Linked DNA regions of Caenorhabditis elegans. The protein of the gene in region 1 purifies or fractionates together with the protein of each later gene. This does not show direct contact. Each region holds a gene or a part of one and is shown in the gene's direction. Other genes may lie near its edges.

Region 1 (8,963 bases):
CATGCGTGCCACCCAGTTCCAATGAGCACAAGAGGGTCAGGGAAGAAGAAGAGGAAGAAGAAGCATAGAAATAAGTCTATGTACTTCTGAAAGTACATGCGATGAAATACATTTACACACATTAAAAGAAATAGTGGAGCGGAGGTTCGAAGAGAACGAACTGCCAACTGATAACGATTGGGGGCGCCAGACATAAAAGAATTGAATTGATGATAAGGGATGATGAGTTCAGGGGTTCGAATGGTTCAATAAAAAGGGGAACTTTGACAGATCTGAAAAAGCCTTGCAGTTTTTGATATAGTTTAAAAATCACAGCTTGCTATAGTTTTTCAGAATTTTAAGTGACTTTAGACACGGCGATAAATGTAAAAATTATTAACAAAAATTTCAGATTTTTCCTATCTGTCTTGTCAAAAAACTTTTTTTTACTGTTGAGGGCCACGAGATGTTGTATCAAATTTTTATTTGAGTTTCTAGTGTGACAAATCTAGTGGGAAAATCTCAAAGAATTTTCTCAAAGTTTTTCAGGTTTTCCAGTTTGCAGCTTCGTCTCCGATACAATGAGGCTTCTAGTGTTGATCACGACATTCCCTATCGATATCTAAATATATAATTTTTAATCGACACAGAGTTCAGAAGTTCATATAGACCTTGGAAGAGCCCGAAAAAAGAACTGGGGACCTTTTTCTTTGCACTCTCTCATTTATCCCATCTCTCTTGCACAAACTCCAATATTTCATCTACACTCTCCGTGCCGTTCTTTTTCTTTTTTTTTGAAAAACGTACTAACCCATAAATCTTCGTCTCGTCGCCCACTTCCCATCCGAAACCCCTAAGTGCCACGTCACAATTATCGCATCAACGGAACGGAACCCCTTTTCTTCCAGTGTACCGAGCATTTTGGAGCAAACTTTTCATATTGTGTTAATCCGCGAAAAAGGAGGAAGACGAGCGTGGAAGGAAAAAGGAGAAGACAGGCTCATTTCACACAACAGGGGTCCGCCGTTCAAGGCAGCTGGTCTGTGCTAATAGGATACTTGGAGATGTATAAATATACGTTATAGGTGCAACTATTTTGACAACACCTGCCACGTGGTCATTGCTGAAAATTAGCTGTTATAGATGGGGAGTATATGAAAGTTCATAAGAAGACAATCCAAGAGCAACATTATGCAGCAGAATTGCATTATTTTTTGTTGGAAAGTTACTTCTAATAGTTTTTCAAAAAAATTCAGTAAAGTCATACCGAATAAATCGAAAAATGTGTTATCAAAAATCACAAAGGTTTCAGCATTTTTCTGCTCACTTATGGACTTCCAACCTATGAAAAATGGGAAGAAGTCTTCTTAAACTGTGCCACTACAAAACTTTCCTCAGAAGAGCAAGGAAAGACGATCTGAATTCAATAGTTTTTTTTTCACTACATTCAATGCCCGTAAAATAGCACAGAAAATATAATTTTGCAGGTTTTTTACAATTTAACAAGTGGTTAAGGATAGGAAAACATTCTGAAAGCTTTTTGGAAACTTCTGTATCAATCAAAAACTTGTAAGTAACTATGTATAATGTCGGAAATCTTTTTAATTCTGAGTATACTCTAGGGTTTCAGCTTTATCACGAGCTTCTGGATCTTTAAAACTGAAAAAAGCCTGAGCGACAAAAATAGAAACACAAAGAAATTCAGTTTTTCCAGATTTGGGGGTCTTCATTTTCCTGAAAATTTTAGAACACAGCTGCCAATAACACATACTTGGTATTTTTGTAGATAATGGTCCCTTTACAATATGTTCAATTGGTAATGGTTTCCCATATGTGAATAAAAAGTAATTTAATAAACTTAAACCTCCTAAAATTTTCAAAATCTCAAGTTGAAATTGTAAATTTTCAGTTTTCAAAAAAAAATTAACGTTATCAAGAAATTTTGAACGCTTAAAACTCGAATCAATTGAGAAACATTTGAACAAATAAATTTCAAATCGTGTTTAAAAAAATGTATCCAATTTCAGAAGGATTACAATAATTTCAGATTTAAATAGTAGATCATATACTTTTAACACCTGCGATTGTTATCTGATCTACAGTTTCGATAAGAAAGGTGTTGACTGCTGCTCCAACTCCCCAAATTGGTGACGAGAGCAGATGGATCCGCAGGAAGTACAAATTGTTCTCCATCTGCAACCAGACATTATGTGCCACGTGGTAGTCGATTGAGGTGCTATAAATGACCAGATATTGACCGTTTTTGGAATCTAATTACAGACAATGAACGTATTCAACTAACAGCTGTATAGAGTATGTGGGTGTCTGGTGACTTATGACTTATATGGTTATGACACTAAATTTGAAGAGTGTCGAATATTGCAGCAGATTTGCAAATTCCCCATAATTCGAGGTATTGTTTGCAACAATAGATATTATTGTTCCTTATAATTCATCAAACAATATTAATCAGCATTTTGCATTTGTTTGAAAGTACCAAATTTTGTAAAAGCCTTGAATAGGGATGGCAAACCGAGCGCCCTGTTTTTCAAAAGTAATTTCTCGAGTTTTAATTTGGTTTTAAAAAAACGATGTTCAGATATTGGAACAAGCCGAAACTATCGAATCAGCTAAAAAACAGGCAACGAATACGACAAGTATCCGTAAAACCAAACTCCGTAGTTATTCCGATGCGCCGGCTATAGTTCTGCTCACCTCTGAAGCAAATTCATTGGGCAGATTGATGGTATAACTAAATTTTAAAAAAGCTAAATAAATTAAAATGTTCAAAAATGATTCGTCAGTTGACATTTTTTGATAATAGATACATCAGAAAACATATTATACAAGTTAATACTGCATGAATTGAAATGTAAAAAAAGAGTTTACAATGGGAATGTAGCATAAGTACCACCCACAGTCAACTGCGAATTTACGACAAAAAATAAAGTTACAAAAGTTTAGAAAAAACAATGTAATTATCAGTTTATCTGATATCCCGTATTTTTATATCTTGGTTCACTTTGGTTTTATCAAAAATTTGTCAACTGACAAAATACTTGTCACAATTTTTTCTACATTTTACCAGTAAAATTTGTTTTAACTAAAACCAAAGAAAACCGAAATATAAACTGTCAAAATAAAACAATGGGGATGTAATTTTATTAGGTAAAATATGGTGACAATAAATAGCCAATATCAAATCTACAAAAGAGGAATAGTTGATGTACACTACTAATGAAAGCAAATGGTATAAAGAATACGCCTCTTTGCATTATTGACCGACTACCGTATGCTCGTCAATCAATGTTTTGCTAGGAGAAAAGAGCACGTCAGTTCAATTGTTGAGGACTGTAGAAATTGGTGACAGATGTGATGAAAAACGAGAACATGATTATCAATTGGATTACGTGGGTACTTTTTTAATTGAAGTCACTAACTATAAATAAAACACTTGGAATTTCTTTTAGCCGGCTTTCTCGAAGTTCATATGTTGATAAATATAAAAATAGAGTTTCAATATTTCTATTTGCTCTAAATTCTTCAAAACTACCGAAAAATTAATTATTACCCAATTAAATACTATAAAAAATTAATTTCTTAATGAGACCTCTTGAAACCTTCCTGCAATTTTTTTTGACGGTTCAAAACTTTTCAATTTTCCCAGTTGGTCCGTGTCGCAGCGGTTAAATTAAGTGGGTGCAAGAAAGGTAATAAAATTTGTGCACACTTAGCCATTATAAAAAAACAACAAAAACTCAAAATAAATAACCAAAATAAGCAAGATATAGAATTAATTGTATAAAAGATAATTTCCGGTCACTGTCAACAAGCTGTGAAAATTAGAAATTATAGCTAAAACCTATTTTATTGCAGTCCACTTGAACTTTAAAAATGATTAAAACTTTGTGAAATTTTGAAGAATTCGTATAAAAATTCGGTCTTATGAGATCAGTTTAAGTTTTGTAGTGAAAAAAATACATTTCAGTTCTCCAAGTAACACTGTTTTATTTCTTCTAACTATACGAGCAAGTTTCAAGTTCATTTACGCCCACAAAAATTTCAAAACTATTCTCCCAAAAATGTGTATCTTATTATTCACTACAGTAATCTGAGCCCATGTTTCTTTCAAAATGTTCATCCCCTCATTCCACGACAAAACGAGAATGTTTAGCTATTAACTGGCTGCTTAAAAATTCAAAAGTCTCAATGAAAGGAAAGGTAATCTGAGACTGCACTTTGTTTCCATATTTCTTCTTCTTCTTTTCAGCTCTTCTTATTTTTTCAAACTTCAGCCTCTTCGTCATTTCGTTCCGGTCTCAGCCATACTGTCAGGAGTCAGTCCGGAAATCATCATCCAATTAATATCTGCAGAGGCCCATCCTCACCTCCTAACAACGTGAGGGCTCCTATTTCAAACGAGAAGCTACTCGAATTCGACACTTTTATTCTCGCCTATAATTAATCCTCAACACAAATTTCCCTCCCACCACCTCATCCCAAAAGAGCTCTACAGGTGCCTCCCCCTCTTGGACTGTTGTACCGTACCCCTCAACACAATATTGCTCGATTAGCCCCGCCCATTTGGTCTTCTAGGAACGTTTGCAAGATGAGTAGTATTCCACCTTATTTCATGACAGACCATCCGCCAATTGACACTTCTTCATATTTCGATTGTTATCAACAACATCAGCTGCCACTTCAATATACATTCACTTCATCTTCAAATTCAAACACCTCTAACTCTTCAACATCGCCTTCTCACATCTCGGATCAATTTTCATCATCTGGAGGTCCGCCCTACGAGCTTTCGTCTCATATTCTGACACCGTCTTCTGTAATTCCGACTCCTTCTCCGTCGGTGGCATCTGCTTCAATCAGCTCACCGACTATTCCAGCTTTTGGGTGCACAATGTCCGAATATTCAATGGAACAGGTTGGTTGTGGTATTAAATTTTTAGCGAGGGAAATCAAATATCAGAACTTGAAAAAAAGGTTTCTACTCGAAGTCTAACTATTTCGAAATGTCACAGTTTAGTGCTGGAAACCTGGCTCTGGACGATACGGTGTTTTTTTCAGGTGTTTTTTGACAGTTTCCATGATAGTTGACTTGTTGTAATAACTGGAAGCTGTGTTTTGTTAATAAAAAAGTCTAGAACGTGGAATGAATTCTCGAAAAAGTACCACTTGAAAAACAAAACTTCCGGGTTGCCAGCCATATCACAAGCCGACTTGTTCGCTTTTAATGTTCTCAAAATTTTCGTTGAATTTGAAAGTTTAGTGTTTCACAAATTTTTTTGGTGATAGATGTGTATACCTAACAGGCTTACCGCAAATTTCACAAAGTCAAAAATACATTCAAAAACTTGTGAAATCTTAAATATTCATAACTGTCTCAAAGTAACTTTTTTTAAAAACATGTTCAACATGCACATAGATCAACTGTAGTTTTTATGATTCTTGAGTTTCATCTAAAAACTCAAATTTATTCCCAACAATTTTAGATGGAAGCAATCTCCACATCCCTGTTTCAAGCTAGAGATGGTGATCGATTGGTAGCATTCTTCAAGCAGTTGGAGTCATTGTACGGACCAAATGCAGTAGATCATTTGCGAAGTGAAGCTATCATCGTAGGTATGTTTGATTAGATAGTGATATTTTTGAAAATACTTTGTTCCGCAAGTATCTGATATAGAACTTTACAAAGACTCATTTCTTCAAACTGATCCATTTTTTGCTATAAGAAATTTCTAAAAAATATCCTATAGCAGAAAAAGTTGCTCCCGTAATCCTTCCGACTTGAAAAACTGCGGTAATATCTGCTGTCAACACTCTCACTATTGCTATGTATTTTAGTTCTTCTATATCAATAACGCAATTTCCTCGATTTTGAATAATACCTCATTCGATTGCGTTATATCCTGCTCTTCTCAAATTCCAAACCATTTATTGCGTTGACTCTTTTTAGTACCCGCCATTCCATCTAACCCTATTCTCCAATTTCAGCCTACACATATGCCTTATATCATTCCAATGAATTCGAGACACTCTTCCACCTTCTCTCGAATCGACATTTTCAACAGCGTCATTACAATGATCTACAAGATATTTGGCATCATGCAAGGTACAAGGAAAGTCAGCTGAAACGTGGCAAAGAACTGAATCCAGTGGAAAAATATCGGCTGAGACGAAAGTTTCCGGCTCCGAAAACAATTTGGGATGGTGAGGAGATTGTGTACAGTTTCAAGGATTCGAGTAGGAAATTTTTGAAACAATTTTTCCGCAACGTCTCTGAATATCCGACCCAGGAGCAGAAAAGAGAGATTTCAAGAGCAACAGGACTCAAAATTGTACAGGTTTGTGAGAAAAATATTAACTTCAAAATTGCTTATTTAGTCAGTAAATTAAGGAGAAGTTAGTAGAATCCCTGGGTAAAACTTTTCACATTTTAACTGACTATGTACAGTACTTATTACCAGCTGCCAAGTCGTAAACGCTTGCGTGCTATCCTTGTCTGAGTTGAGTTTGCTTATATTTTTCCAACAATGATTGTAAAAAGGAATGCGTGAAAAGACAGTTGCCGACTAGTCGCAACTGAGCAGACGGCTTCTCCGAAAGAATTTGTTTATAAGATCTGCAAGGTCAAATTGTAAGGATCATAAATTATCTGTTTCATTTTATTGTCAAATTTCGAGTAGAAGATTAGTGTGATTACAAGGATTCTATGGTAGAACAAACTAAAATAGGATCTGAAAAAGCCGGAGCGTAAATTAGTACATGGTAAAGTAATCTCGAACAAATTTCAATTTTATTTTTCAGATTTCAAATTGGTTCAAAAACCGTCGCCAACGGGACAAATCGAACAATTCAGCCAAATGCTCCCCACCTTCCAGCTCGAGCAGCACTAATGGTGGCAGTGACTTTCTTCCAATAATAACTCCGCAAAGCTTTAACTTGGCAGCTGCTCCATTCAATATGAACATGATCTATGGTACATTACGTGACAGTCAGTCTGATAATGATCAATTCACTTTCAATCCGTAATTTTTTTTAAAATAAAAGTAAAGTATTTACCCATTGTATATTTGAAATGCTTTAAAAGTGCAAAAAGAATAAACTGTTATTTTTAGAAGTTTGCCAGGCTATAATTTTTTTTTTGATATTTAAATCTGAATTCAAGAATCTGGAAAAATATCAGAATTTCAAGGTTTCTTGCAAGGTTTTTTGAAACACTGAAAAAATAAAAACAAATTTATTGAAACAAAAAACCGTAGCACATATTGCGGACATAAATAAATAGAGACAAAATGCAAGATCACAAATAACCCCGAAACAAAATATATTAGAACTTCGTAGATGTCGGATATTGGCATACTATATAATCTATCCAGTAAGTGAAGTGCTCAAAATCTCCTTCGCCTCCTTCTTCACAATTCGACACCGAATCCTTCGTTCCAGCCATCTGAAACACCTCAAAATCGGAGGATTTTTTAGAATCTCGGAGCTCAATGATACACTCACTTTTCGAATCGAACTTTGCCGAAATAGGCCAATGTGTTGGTTGCCGAGTTGAGAATGACAAGGAAGTCTGAGATTCGCGTGACTTTTGTCATGAATGGGCCGAAGTTTATACTGTTTTCAATGAGAACCTCGTAGAGATCAATCAATGTTGGCAGGGATCTGAAAATTGAAAATTTGAGCTACCAAGTTTTTATGTTATGTAACAAAATAATTAGTACTGTCTTGGCATTTGGCGATGATTTCTTGCTCAAGGTAAACACTTGGCATGACGTTTTTTGACCGCACTTCAAGTTCAGCCCAGGCTTGATTCAACTCTTGGCAATGCTTTCTAGGTTTAAACAACACAGAATAGTTCGGACAAAATATTGGAAATAGTTGGATCATATTTGAGTTAAACATAGAGTATGGTCTAAACAACGCACAGTTTCTACATCTCTTGCAAAAGCTTTGCCACCTTTTGAACCAAGTTCCCACTTTTGGGATCAAACTTGGAGTGGCCAAAAAAAGTTTGAAGTTCTAGCCTATACTCACCTCAAAATCAGAAATTTGACAACAATGAACACAGCTAACGCCTTCGATGCTTTATCCTTCAATTCCTCCGTCACCAGTGTGTTTCTACTTCTCTTCTGACTCTCAAAAAGCCTCCTCCGTTCCTTGACATTCTGATGCATTTTGTATTCAGTGAACAATGACAGCGTGGAGATGAAAAGCATTGGTCCCAATGTCTCTGTTGTCATGGTAAGGGCAACTTTGAATTGAAAATACTGAAACAATGGGATTTATAGAATAGAGTGAATAGATGGTTACGTACCCAATAAGAATCTCCTCTGAGTTGTGTCATCTGGAGCATTTTTGATTCAGTCTGATGAACTTCATCAAAGCATGTAATAAGGTTGAATTCAAAGTAGGAAGTGCTATGAATGACGAAGCAGAGGATTACCAGAAGGACTGAAAGTATTAAGTTCAATATTCAGAGAGAACAGAAATTTTAGTGAATTTTGTGAAATTATTTCAAAAATAATGTATTTTAAACTATCAATTAAGTATGCAACACTAGTTATTATGACGAAGAGTGGTCTAAAATTCGGGATTCTCCTTTTTGAATAATTCACTTTTCATTCCTTTTCCGAAACTTTCAAATTGTTGCCCTTTTCACATACTTGGAACTAGAAATGGTCTGAAGAATCTTCTGAAATTTGCTCCTCTTTTTCCAGCATTGCTTCTGGTGTGAAATTCATAGAACATTTCGGCTGGAAATGAAATTGTGAACTTTGCCGACTCTGTGGAAGATGGCTGAGCAGCTGTGCTCATTTTGCTTGCAGATATTGATTTTCTCTAAAAAATATGATTCCTTAAATTTGAAAACAAAATGTGTGTCACTACCGATCTTCCATAATGTGATGCAAATTTGAGTGGATTGTTGACAACTCTGTATCGGATGTATGTGATGTAGCAAACTAGCA
Region 2 (8,806 bases), on another chromosome or scaffold:
AATCAGTTTAAATAGTTTTTGGTGAGGGTTTTCCTTTTTTTTCGAAACTGTGGTTTAAATTTAAATAATTTCACTTTTTGTTTCTAACTATATTTTTCATAAAACATATAGACAAAAACACAGTAAAATTCGATGAAATATTTATTGGAAGATTATTTAATTTTATTTTAAAATTCCTTTTAATATAGATAAACCTTTAGGCATCAACTTTTTGTTTGAATAACTATTTTTGCCTAGAATACAGCAAAAATGATGTCAGAAATTATGAGACCTAGAAACGGCACATTAAACAGGCTATAGAGTGATTAAAAGCAGCCATATCACGTGTTGACACATAACACCATCATCTTATTATCAGATAGCCTTATCGACGTCTAGAACATAATGTCTTTGTGTTGTGCCCTTTTTCTATCTTTTCTAGAATTATTTTTTGGCAATTTTCAGAATCACAAATGACTATCGCCAGTCAGTCTATCGAAGATTTCAAAGAATGTCTGTATCAGGTGAGTTTATAGATTTTCGTACATTATTCGTAAGTAGTAACTGTTTAAGATGCAAGAAGCACGGAAATCAGTGACGAATGAAATTCTCGAAACAGGACATATCAAAGCCGACCAAGTTCAAATATTTAAAAGTACGCTAGAGGTTGGTTTTTTTGCTTGGAAACCATGTATCTGAATAATTTGAAATTCCGGGTATATGTCAAAAAATTCTCATAGAGTGGAAATCTCAACTGAAACATTTTGTTTTTAAAACAATGTTTTTGAACGTAATTCTCAAAAAAAAAATTTTAAACAAAAGCTAAAACAATAGCTAACTTTAAAAAGACAACCTTTTTCACAATTATTTAACATTTAATTACATCTACATTAAAATGTTTATTTAATGGAATTTTAAACCTACCGATATCATTTAATTTCATTCTCCGCATCTCGGTCAAAATAATGTCAATAATTCCAGGAAATGAATGACGAGCGAACGTCAAAAAACCACATCAGAGACATTCACTCAAGAGGAACCACATTTGGCATCAACATTCAAGACGAAATTAAAGGATTGCAGGTTCATTCCTGAAGCTGCATTTTCTTTATTTCCAAATTATTTTGTTTCAGAAAGACCATCATTTTTTGGATGCATTCGCGGTGGAAAGTGACAAAGAGAACAACTCATTTGCAAATGTTCTAAAACTTTGCGATCTACCTGGACTGTTGTCTAAATTTGTGGACGATGAAATTCGGTTCGAGAAAGAGGTCGCCGAGTGTAAAGCGTTTCTGATGGATCTCATTGATACGAGCACCACCGGAGGGATTAAACCACTGTTTATCACTGATTGGGATGGAACTATGAAGGATTATTGCTCACAGTATGCAACAAATTTGCAGGTTTGTGTCTTAAAATGAGCTGAAAAAGTTAAATTGTGTAAACTCAAATGGACATTTGAAAATACATTTGTTCAAACTGAAAATAAATTTTAAACGGCAAATTTTTTCTGGAGAAAACATAACTTCGAAAAAAAAAGTAAAACCGAAATAAATTACATTTCAGCCGGCCTACAGCGCTATCGTAATGGGTGTCTTCTCTCGTCTCTTCACCCGAGCATTTGCCGTCCTAACCGCAGGGCCTCTCCGCCATCCTGGAATCCTAGACCTCACCGCACTCCCCATCAACGGGCCGGTATTATTCAGTGGATCTTGGGGACGCGAATGGTGGCTTGGCGGCCGACGAATAGTGCATGATGATGGAATTCCTGAGGAAGGAAGTGTTGCAATTGGGCAGCTCTGTGAACAACTGGATGAGATACTTCATGAAGGGGAATTTGTGCAATTCGCGTTGGTTGGAAGTGGTGTACAGAGGAAAGTCGATCGTCTTACCCTAGGAGTTCAAACGGTTTTCAAGCAAGTTCCAGAAGACCTCTCAGCTAGATACATTGATGCAGTTCGTGAACGAATCCATCGAGTTGATCCCAACAGTCAATATTTAGTATTAGAAAATTGTTCACCGTTAGAAATTGAAGTATGCGTTCATTCGTCAGGTAATGCTCAATTTTGAAATTTATGATGATGATTTTCGAATTACAGGAGCTGTTTGGAACAAGGGAGATGGAGTTGCTGCTTTAGTGGAATCACTCCACGACTCGTTGAAGGTTGGAAAAGTTTGTGTCGCAGGGGACACCGCGAGTGATGTTCCGATGTTGAAAAAAGCAGCAGACGAGAATCCAGAGGTAAGATTTTGAATTGAGATAGTATGTCAATTGAACCACTATTAGCATACTTTTGAATATTTTTCGCTATCAATAAAACAACAGTGGACAACATCATACATATTAAGAAATCATAAGATCGCGAGAATGCCTACCGTTTTGGCGCGGGAATATCTCGTTGCGAAGGCACCTAAACCACTGGTCATCGCATGTTCTCTGTGCTATCGCTATTTTTGCGAAGTAGGCATTTTCATGAACTGATAGCTTCTTAATAGCTTGCACGTGGTGTCATAATGTCCCAATTCGGTTTGATCTACTTAGATCTACGAAAAACGCGGGTTTTAAGACGCAGAGTTCTCAACTCTGATTTTACATTGTTTAGAACATGATGACGTCACATTTTTTGGCAAAAAAAAATCCCGCACTTTTTAGTAGATAAAATTGTGATGGGAGAGCCTGACTCCACGTGAGCCGCGTGAGCTGGAATAACCTCGTAGACACGCTAGTAAACATTTCTCTTATTAAATTAAACTTGTATTTGAAATAATGCTAAAATGCTAAACACATCAGATAAATTTCTTGAAAACTTATTTTTTCCAGAACGTTCGAGCCTTGTTTGTCAATATCAACAAGCAGCTTCAAGAGAACATCACAAATATTGTTGGAGACGCCAAACGAGTCTGCTTCATCTCTTCACCAGATGTTGCTCACGCTGCGTTCGCCCAAATTATTTCAGAGTTCTCTGGATGAAAAATGAAATTGGATTGTTTCCCAACCATTAACTATTAAATATTAGAGTGGTAGAGAGGTAGAGAACAACGACAACTTGTTGTTTCTCAAATGTTCAACCACCCATCGTAACTTGCAATCAATGACCGCTGGTCAATGGTCAGCAAAGGCGACGAAACCTGTCTCTCTCTCTCGTTTTCTCTACGACCTCTGCTCTCTCTCACTGTTCCTCTTCTCAGTTTCTGCCACGTGACGTTTTTTTTTTCTGATATTCCATTTTTCGTTCTTCCCTCAAACTTCAATTGATTAGAACTGTAAAAATACCAAATAATTCAGTTATTGTTTTATAGAAATCGGTTTTATTAGCATGTTTTTATTGTACCCTCATTCACCAAAAATTCCTCATATTCGAATAATTGTTTAATAAAACTAGTCGGGTTTTGCTTTCTTTTTCCCCCCTGATTCAGTCCACTTTTCAATGTGTTTGTGAACTTCGTAGTTTTTTTTGTTTCAATTTTTTTTCAAAATTCAATTTCTAAAAAAGATATTTTATTTTTCAAAGTATTGTTTGTTTTTCGGCAATCTTGATATTTTAAACTAATAAGTTTCAAAGATTTTGCAAATTTTTTCAGAATGCTTGGCCGGGGCACATCTTTCAATCGGTTTTTTAGACACCGGCGTCAGTTCAACAAACTTTCGGGCGCCACTTCAGAACATCAGAGGACTAATGAAAATCACTCTTATTGTAGGGATCTACCACGAAAACTTGAAAATCTATTAACTAATGTTTAGACAAGTATGCATATATTGGAGGAGCCGCAACTGCTGGAGTGCTCGGATTCAAACACTTTGTGAAAACTGCAAAGCTTGATCACGCCAAAGATGAGACGATGTCAGAGAAGAAATTGGAGAATCTTCAGATATACAAGCAGGAGGAGGTCAAGAAACATGGAAAAGACGCAGACAGGATTTGGGTTACGTACAAAGATGTAAGTTGATTATTTTCAATTAGGACTCTTATGTCGTCCCCGAAAACACCCCTCTCACGCCACAATCCGAAACCTTTATAGCGATGCGCGGAACCCAAAAAGCGTCGGACGTGGAGTCAACTTTGCTACAAATAGTGTCATACTCTATGCCACTGTTTGGTGCAAACTCCGCGTCCGACATTTTGTGGGTTCCGCGCATCGCTTTGAAAATTTGAATTGCGGCGTGAAAGCGGCACCCACATGGGAGCCCTAATTTCAATTATTCAACTGTCCAGTTTTGGCTGACTGGACAAAATGTAGTTTTGTGACTTGGTTACAGGTTTTTAAGGACTTTTTTCGAACGCTTAGAACATTTCAAACTACATATATGCGTATTTCCAAATTGATGCTTGTTTATAAACTGGAATTAATAGTTTTCTTATTTTTACAGGGTGTCTATGATGTCACAGATTTCATTGCCATGCATCCGGGAGGTGACAAAATTCTGCTTGCCGCCGGTGCAGCTGTCGACCCATTTTGGGCTCTCTACTCACAGCACAAGACAAAAGAGGTTCTCGAGATTCTCGAAGGATATCGAATTGGCAAACTTGATGTAAAAGATGTTCCGAAAGTAAGTTCATGGAGTAGAAAAGAGGTGGCATACAATCCTTTATTGTGTGATTTATGAAATTCTGGTAACAAATTTTTTTGTTTAGATTGATTTTGAAGATTTAAGTAATGTGAGTTTGGTTGATTTTAATTAGGGTCCGGGTACAAACGCACCCAAAATATTGATCAATTTATCCTCTTATCTCACCTATGTTTGTGTTTGTTTTACAGCCAGTCGCTGACGCATTCTCCAATGATCCGGAACGTCATCCAGCTTTACTCGTGCGTAACTCGAAGCCCTTCAATGCCGAAACCCCTCCTTCCCTGCTTACCGACCACTTCTACACACCCAATGAACTGTTCTTTGTACGAAATCATCTTCCGGTTCCTGATGTATGTGAAAAGGGGTTGTGTGTGTAGTGAAGTTTTACGCTGGATTTTTTTTTAGATCAAAACTGAAAACCATCGATTGACTGTGGAAACCATCAAAGGAAAAACAGTGGATTTGTCTGTAGAGGAGCTCAAGAAGAAGTACAAGTCATATACAATTGGAAGTGTGATTCAATGTGCTGGAAATAGAAGAGCCGATATGAATCAGTATAAGAAAGTTCAAGGACTGATGTGGGAAGGAACTGCAATCAGTAATGCCGAATGGACTGGAGTTCGCTTGAGAGTAAATTTGAATTTTAAAATATGAGATATTAATTAATAAAATTCAAGGATCTTCTCGCTGACGCAGGAATCGACGTTTTCGACGACAAGATCAAGCACGTCCACTTTGAAGGAGCAGATGTTGATCCGACTGGAACACCCTACGGAGCATCAATTCCCATTGAAAAGGCTCGTGGAGATGAAGTCATTGTCGCTTATCACATGAATGGAGTTGATATTCCGAGGGATCACGGAGCTCCTCTGCGGGTCATTGTGCCAGGTACAACGGTTTTAACATACTTTTATTTAAAAAATTTTTTCTGATAATCGTTAATAAAAGAAGTCATTCAGGTAATGTTGGTGCTCGACAAGTGAAATGGCTCAGAAAAATTATTGTTAGTGAGAAGGAAAGTGATAGTCATTGGCAGCAAAAAGATTATAGGTTAGTAATAAATCTCCAGAACCTACAAACCATCCAATTTCAGAGCATTCTCCCCAGCTGTCAACATTGGTGACGAGCTGAAGTGGAACACAGTTCCATCTATCCAAGAGTATCCTGTTCAATGTGCAATCTGTAGTCCGGCTCCAAATACCAAAGTTGATCGTGGTGACGAAACTGTGGACATCTCTGGATATGCGTGGAGCGGTGGTGGCCGTGGAATCATCCGAATCGAGGTTAGCGTCGATGGTGGCGAGACGTGGAACAGTGTCGAGATGGAGCAAGAAGAGAAGCAGGATCAGGAGCACATGTACGCATGGACATTGTTCAAGGCAGAAGTGAAAATTCCTCCGGGAGTCAAGGAGTTCAATATTATTGCGAAAGCAGTAGACAGAGCCTATAACACGCAACCAGAGACTGCCAGTGGTATTTGGAATGTTCGTGGTTTGATTCATAATGCCTGGCATAGAGTTCCCATTATTGTGAAGGATTAAGATTTTTTTTTAAATTCCGTTCAGATCTCGTAGTTTTCTTTTCCCCTAGATTTTTTCTTGCTTCAATTCAAAATTTGGCCAGTTGAATCTTTAATTTGAACCAGTATTGTCTTGCCCCTACCCCCGTTTGATTTAATTGCAACAAGTTACGAAGTTTTTAGATCAACTGTGATAGTATGAATAAATGTTTTATGACAAAATATTTTTTAAAGGTTTAATTACGAATGATGTAGGAAAGGACAATGGCACGTTGAAAGTTACACAATACTATTACTCAAAATTAATCATGTCATTGATGGCTGGACACTGGAATCTATCCCTGGTTGTGATGAATGATCCGGAGACAAATGTTGGTCTTGCCATGTTTTCCCAGCTCTGGCGGGAATCTTTTGATTCAAATTCGAATGGCTCCCCGTTGGATTTCAAGCAGTTCATGTTCATGTTTCCAACATTCAACACATTGTAAAACTCCTCATCAACTCCATTTCCCCAGTCCTTGACGTTGCTGTACATATCCGAAATTTGCATTCTCTTTCCATCCATACCATGTCTGAAATATGATTGTAAAATTGGATGCATTTTGTTTCGATAATCTCACCGTTCTGAGAAGTAGGCTCTCAACGTACTATTAGAAATTGCTGATTTGCAAACTTCTACATCAGAAGCTGGGTAGTAATAAATATAGTTGACGCACATCTCATCCACAATTCGATATCCACCAAACGTCACTTTTGATCGTTTTCTGGTATCGTAGACGCATGTGGTGACCAGTGTGTCTCCTGGCATAACCTTAACCACTGGTCGAAGCTGTTGCAGATGCTGCCAATGAGGGGAGTAGTGTTCATCTCGGTTCACGTCTCCAATGCGAACTCCAGATCGATATTGAGATGTGAACAGTTTTCTGCCGGTTAGATGAGCGTGCAGTTGACTGGCGAAAATGTTGATTCCCTCCTCGGGAAGCTGGAAATTTCGATTTTACAGTTGAATCTGGTATGGATTTTGAGAGATGTGCGGATTTTTTAAGTTGAAAATTTTTTATTAAAACTTTTCTCCCAAGAAAACGAATTTTGTGTACTCCCTAAACAGAATGTATCTCAATCAGATTTGACACAATAATTCAGGCAGGCAAAATTCAGCACCTCAATATTTTGATGTGAAAGCAAAAATAATGTGACTTTTGAGAATTTTAAAGTATTTTTTTTTTGGTAAAAATAATCGCTATAATTTTTTTCGGAATTCTATACAAAAATACATAAAAGTCGCAATCTAGGTACACAATTTTCAATTTCATAAGTATATCAATTTTCAGATTTTCAGAAAACTACCCACCACTTTTGATTTATTGTGTTTGTTTTTCTTAAGTATACATAGCTATATATTTTCTGTAAATTTGTTCAAACGACTTACATTTTTAGTGCATTGTGATGGACAATATCCATTCATGGCCCATGCTTTTTGATTTGGTGGTACTGAATTTGCATCGGAGTATATTAAACCAAGTTCCATAATTCCTGCGTCGTATTTTCTGAATTAAGCTGTTATTATCATAAATTCCTATCATAAATTTGTTTCAAAACACACCTGAGTTGTCCGGTTACAAAGAACTGAAATCCGGAAGAATCAATAACTCCTTTGTGAAGTTCTGGGTTGTTATAATGAATTTCAACCATCACATATGCATTCTTTCCTTTCCCTCCGATTGGGAGTCCTGCTTCTTTCGGATAATGAATTGGACCTTCTCCCATTGCCCATGCAGCAATGACATGACTGCATGACTTTGACTTTGGCGGCTTCTTTGGATCGTTACAGCTTCCACTCCATTCTTCTACTTCATCTCTACACATGAAGATCTCCATGTGATGCACCAAATGCTCATTTCCAGGTGTCACGTATGGTTCCATTCTCACTACGTGGTACATGTTATTGACGGTGTCAAATGGCATTTTACGAATGATACACTTGTATGTGGTCTCCACATTTGGAATCGGGTCCGGGCTATTGCTATTCACAATTACGACTTTCACATCTTTCTCGAGAGCGGCTGGTTCTTCTTCAATATTTGGCTGATCAGTTGGACCTTCGATCACTTTTCCAAACTTTTTGTCCTGCAAAAAATTAATAATCATGAATTAATCATCTAAGTCACTCCATACCACAACCCATCTCTTATCCCGAATATCTACCAAATTCGTAGATCCCCAGGAAGCGGCAATGTAGAATTGAGTGGTTCCTGGCTAAAAATTTGACTTGAGTTATAAATTGAAGACAATTTTTCAAATGATCATTTGGAAAAAACAAACACAATTTCAAAAGATTGAAATTTGCGTAAACTAGGAAAATCTTTTCAAAAATTTCTCGAAATTGTTTTTAGCCTAACTTAGCTAAAATGTTCAATTTTCGTAAACCCAGAATCTAGCAACATCAACATGAAAACGACCAAGAATGCACAGTGACGTTATACTTGAATGTAGGGCTGAGCTCCGATGAGGTCGCCGCATGTATAGTGCGGCGCGGAACCCCGAACGTGTCGGCCGTTTCCAAACAACTACCTCTTCGCTTTACGTTTTGCACACAGCAAGCTACTCATTTCACGCCAAGCTGCGAAACCTCAAACATGTCGGCCACTTCAAATAACTACATTTCACACTTTGCTGCACACACACAGCGGCGCGCAACGTCGGCGTACGGCCCCCATTTCGCGCCTTACTCAGCTGGG

What was found. Proteins that work in one complex are often made in the same cells at the same time.
Region 2: the proteins of unc-39 (region 1) and suox-1 fractionate together in Caenorhabditis elegans (co-fractionation; one large-scale study listed by BioGRID). This does not show direct contact.

Annotation. Positions count from the first base shown.
Region 1 is NC_003283.11:14,368,777-14,377,739, forward strand, and holds unc-39 (Homeobox protein unc-39), read left to right. Parts: upstream 1-4,297; 5' UTR 4,298-4,612; coding exon 4,613-4,915; intron 4,916-5,483; coding exon 5,484-5,613; intron 5,614-5,985; coding exon 5,986-6,335; intron 6,336-6,691; exon of another isoform or gene 6,692-6,712; intron 6,713-6,798; coding exon 6,799-7,023; 3' UTR 7,024-7,105; downstream 7,106-8,963. Other genes in the region: npr-43 (G-protein coupled receptors family 1 profile domain-containing protein), read right to left, coding at 7,363-7,450, 7,501-7,659, 8,032-8,264, 8,312-8,448, 8,661-8,835, 8,884-8,963. UniProt on the Caenorhabditis elegans protein: Probable transcription factor required for differentiation and migration of neuronal cells, such as RID and CAN neurons. Specifically, plays a role in the terminal differentiation of RID peptidergic neurons. Also required for CAN neuron axon guidance.
Region 2 is NC_003284.9:15,493,994-15,502,799, forward strand, and holds suox-1 (sulfite oxidase), read left to right. Parts: upstream 1-3,561; 5' UTR 3,562-3,562; coding exon 3,563-3,674; intron 3,675-3,721; coding exon 3,722-3,918; intron 3,919-4,348; coding exon 4,349-4,528; intron 4,529-4,613; coding exon of another isoform or gene 4,614-4,661; exon of another isoform or gene 4,662-4,737; coding exon 4,738-4,899; intron 4,900-4,954; coding exon 4,955-5,179; intron 5,180-5,226; coding exon 5,227-5,437; intron 5,438-5,508; coding exon 5,509-5,599; intron 5,600-5,642; coding exon 5,643-6,090; 3' UTR 6,091-6,286; downstream 6,287-8,806. Other genes in the region: gob-1 (Trehalose-phosphatase), read left to right, coding at 445-503, 553-645, 961-1,062, 1,113-1,382, 1,546-2,032, 2,079-2,221, 2,801-2,950; tbh-1 (Tyramine beta-hydroxylase), read right to left, coding at 6,361-6,640, 6,689-7,050, 7,498-7,615, 7,672-8,195, 8,244-8,324.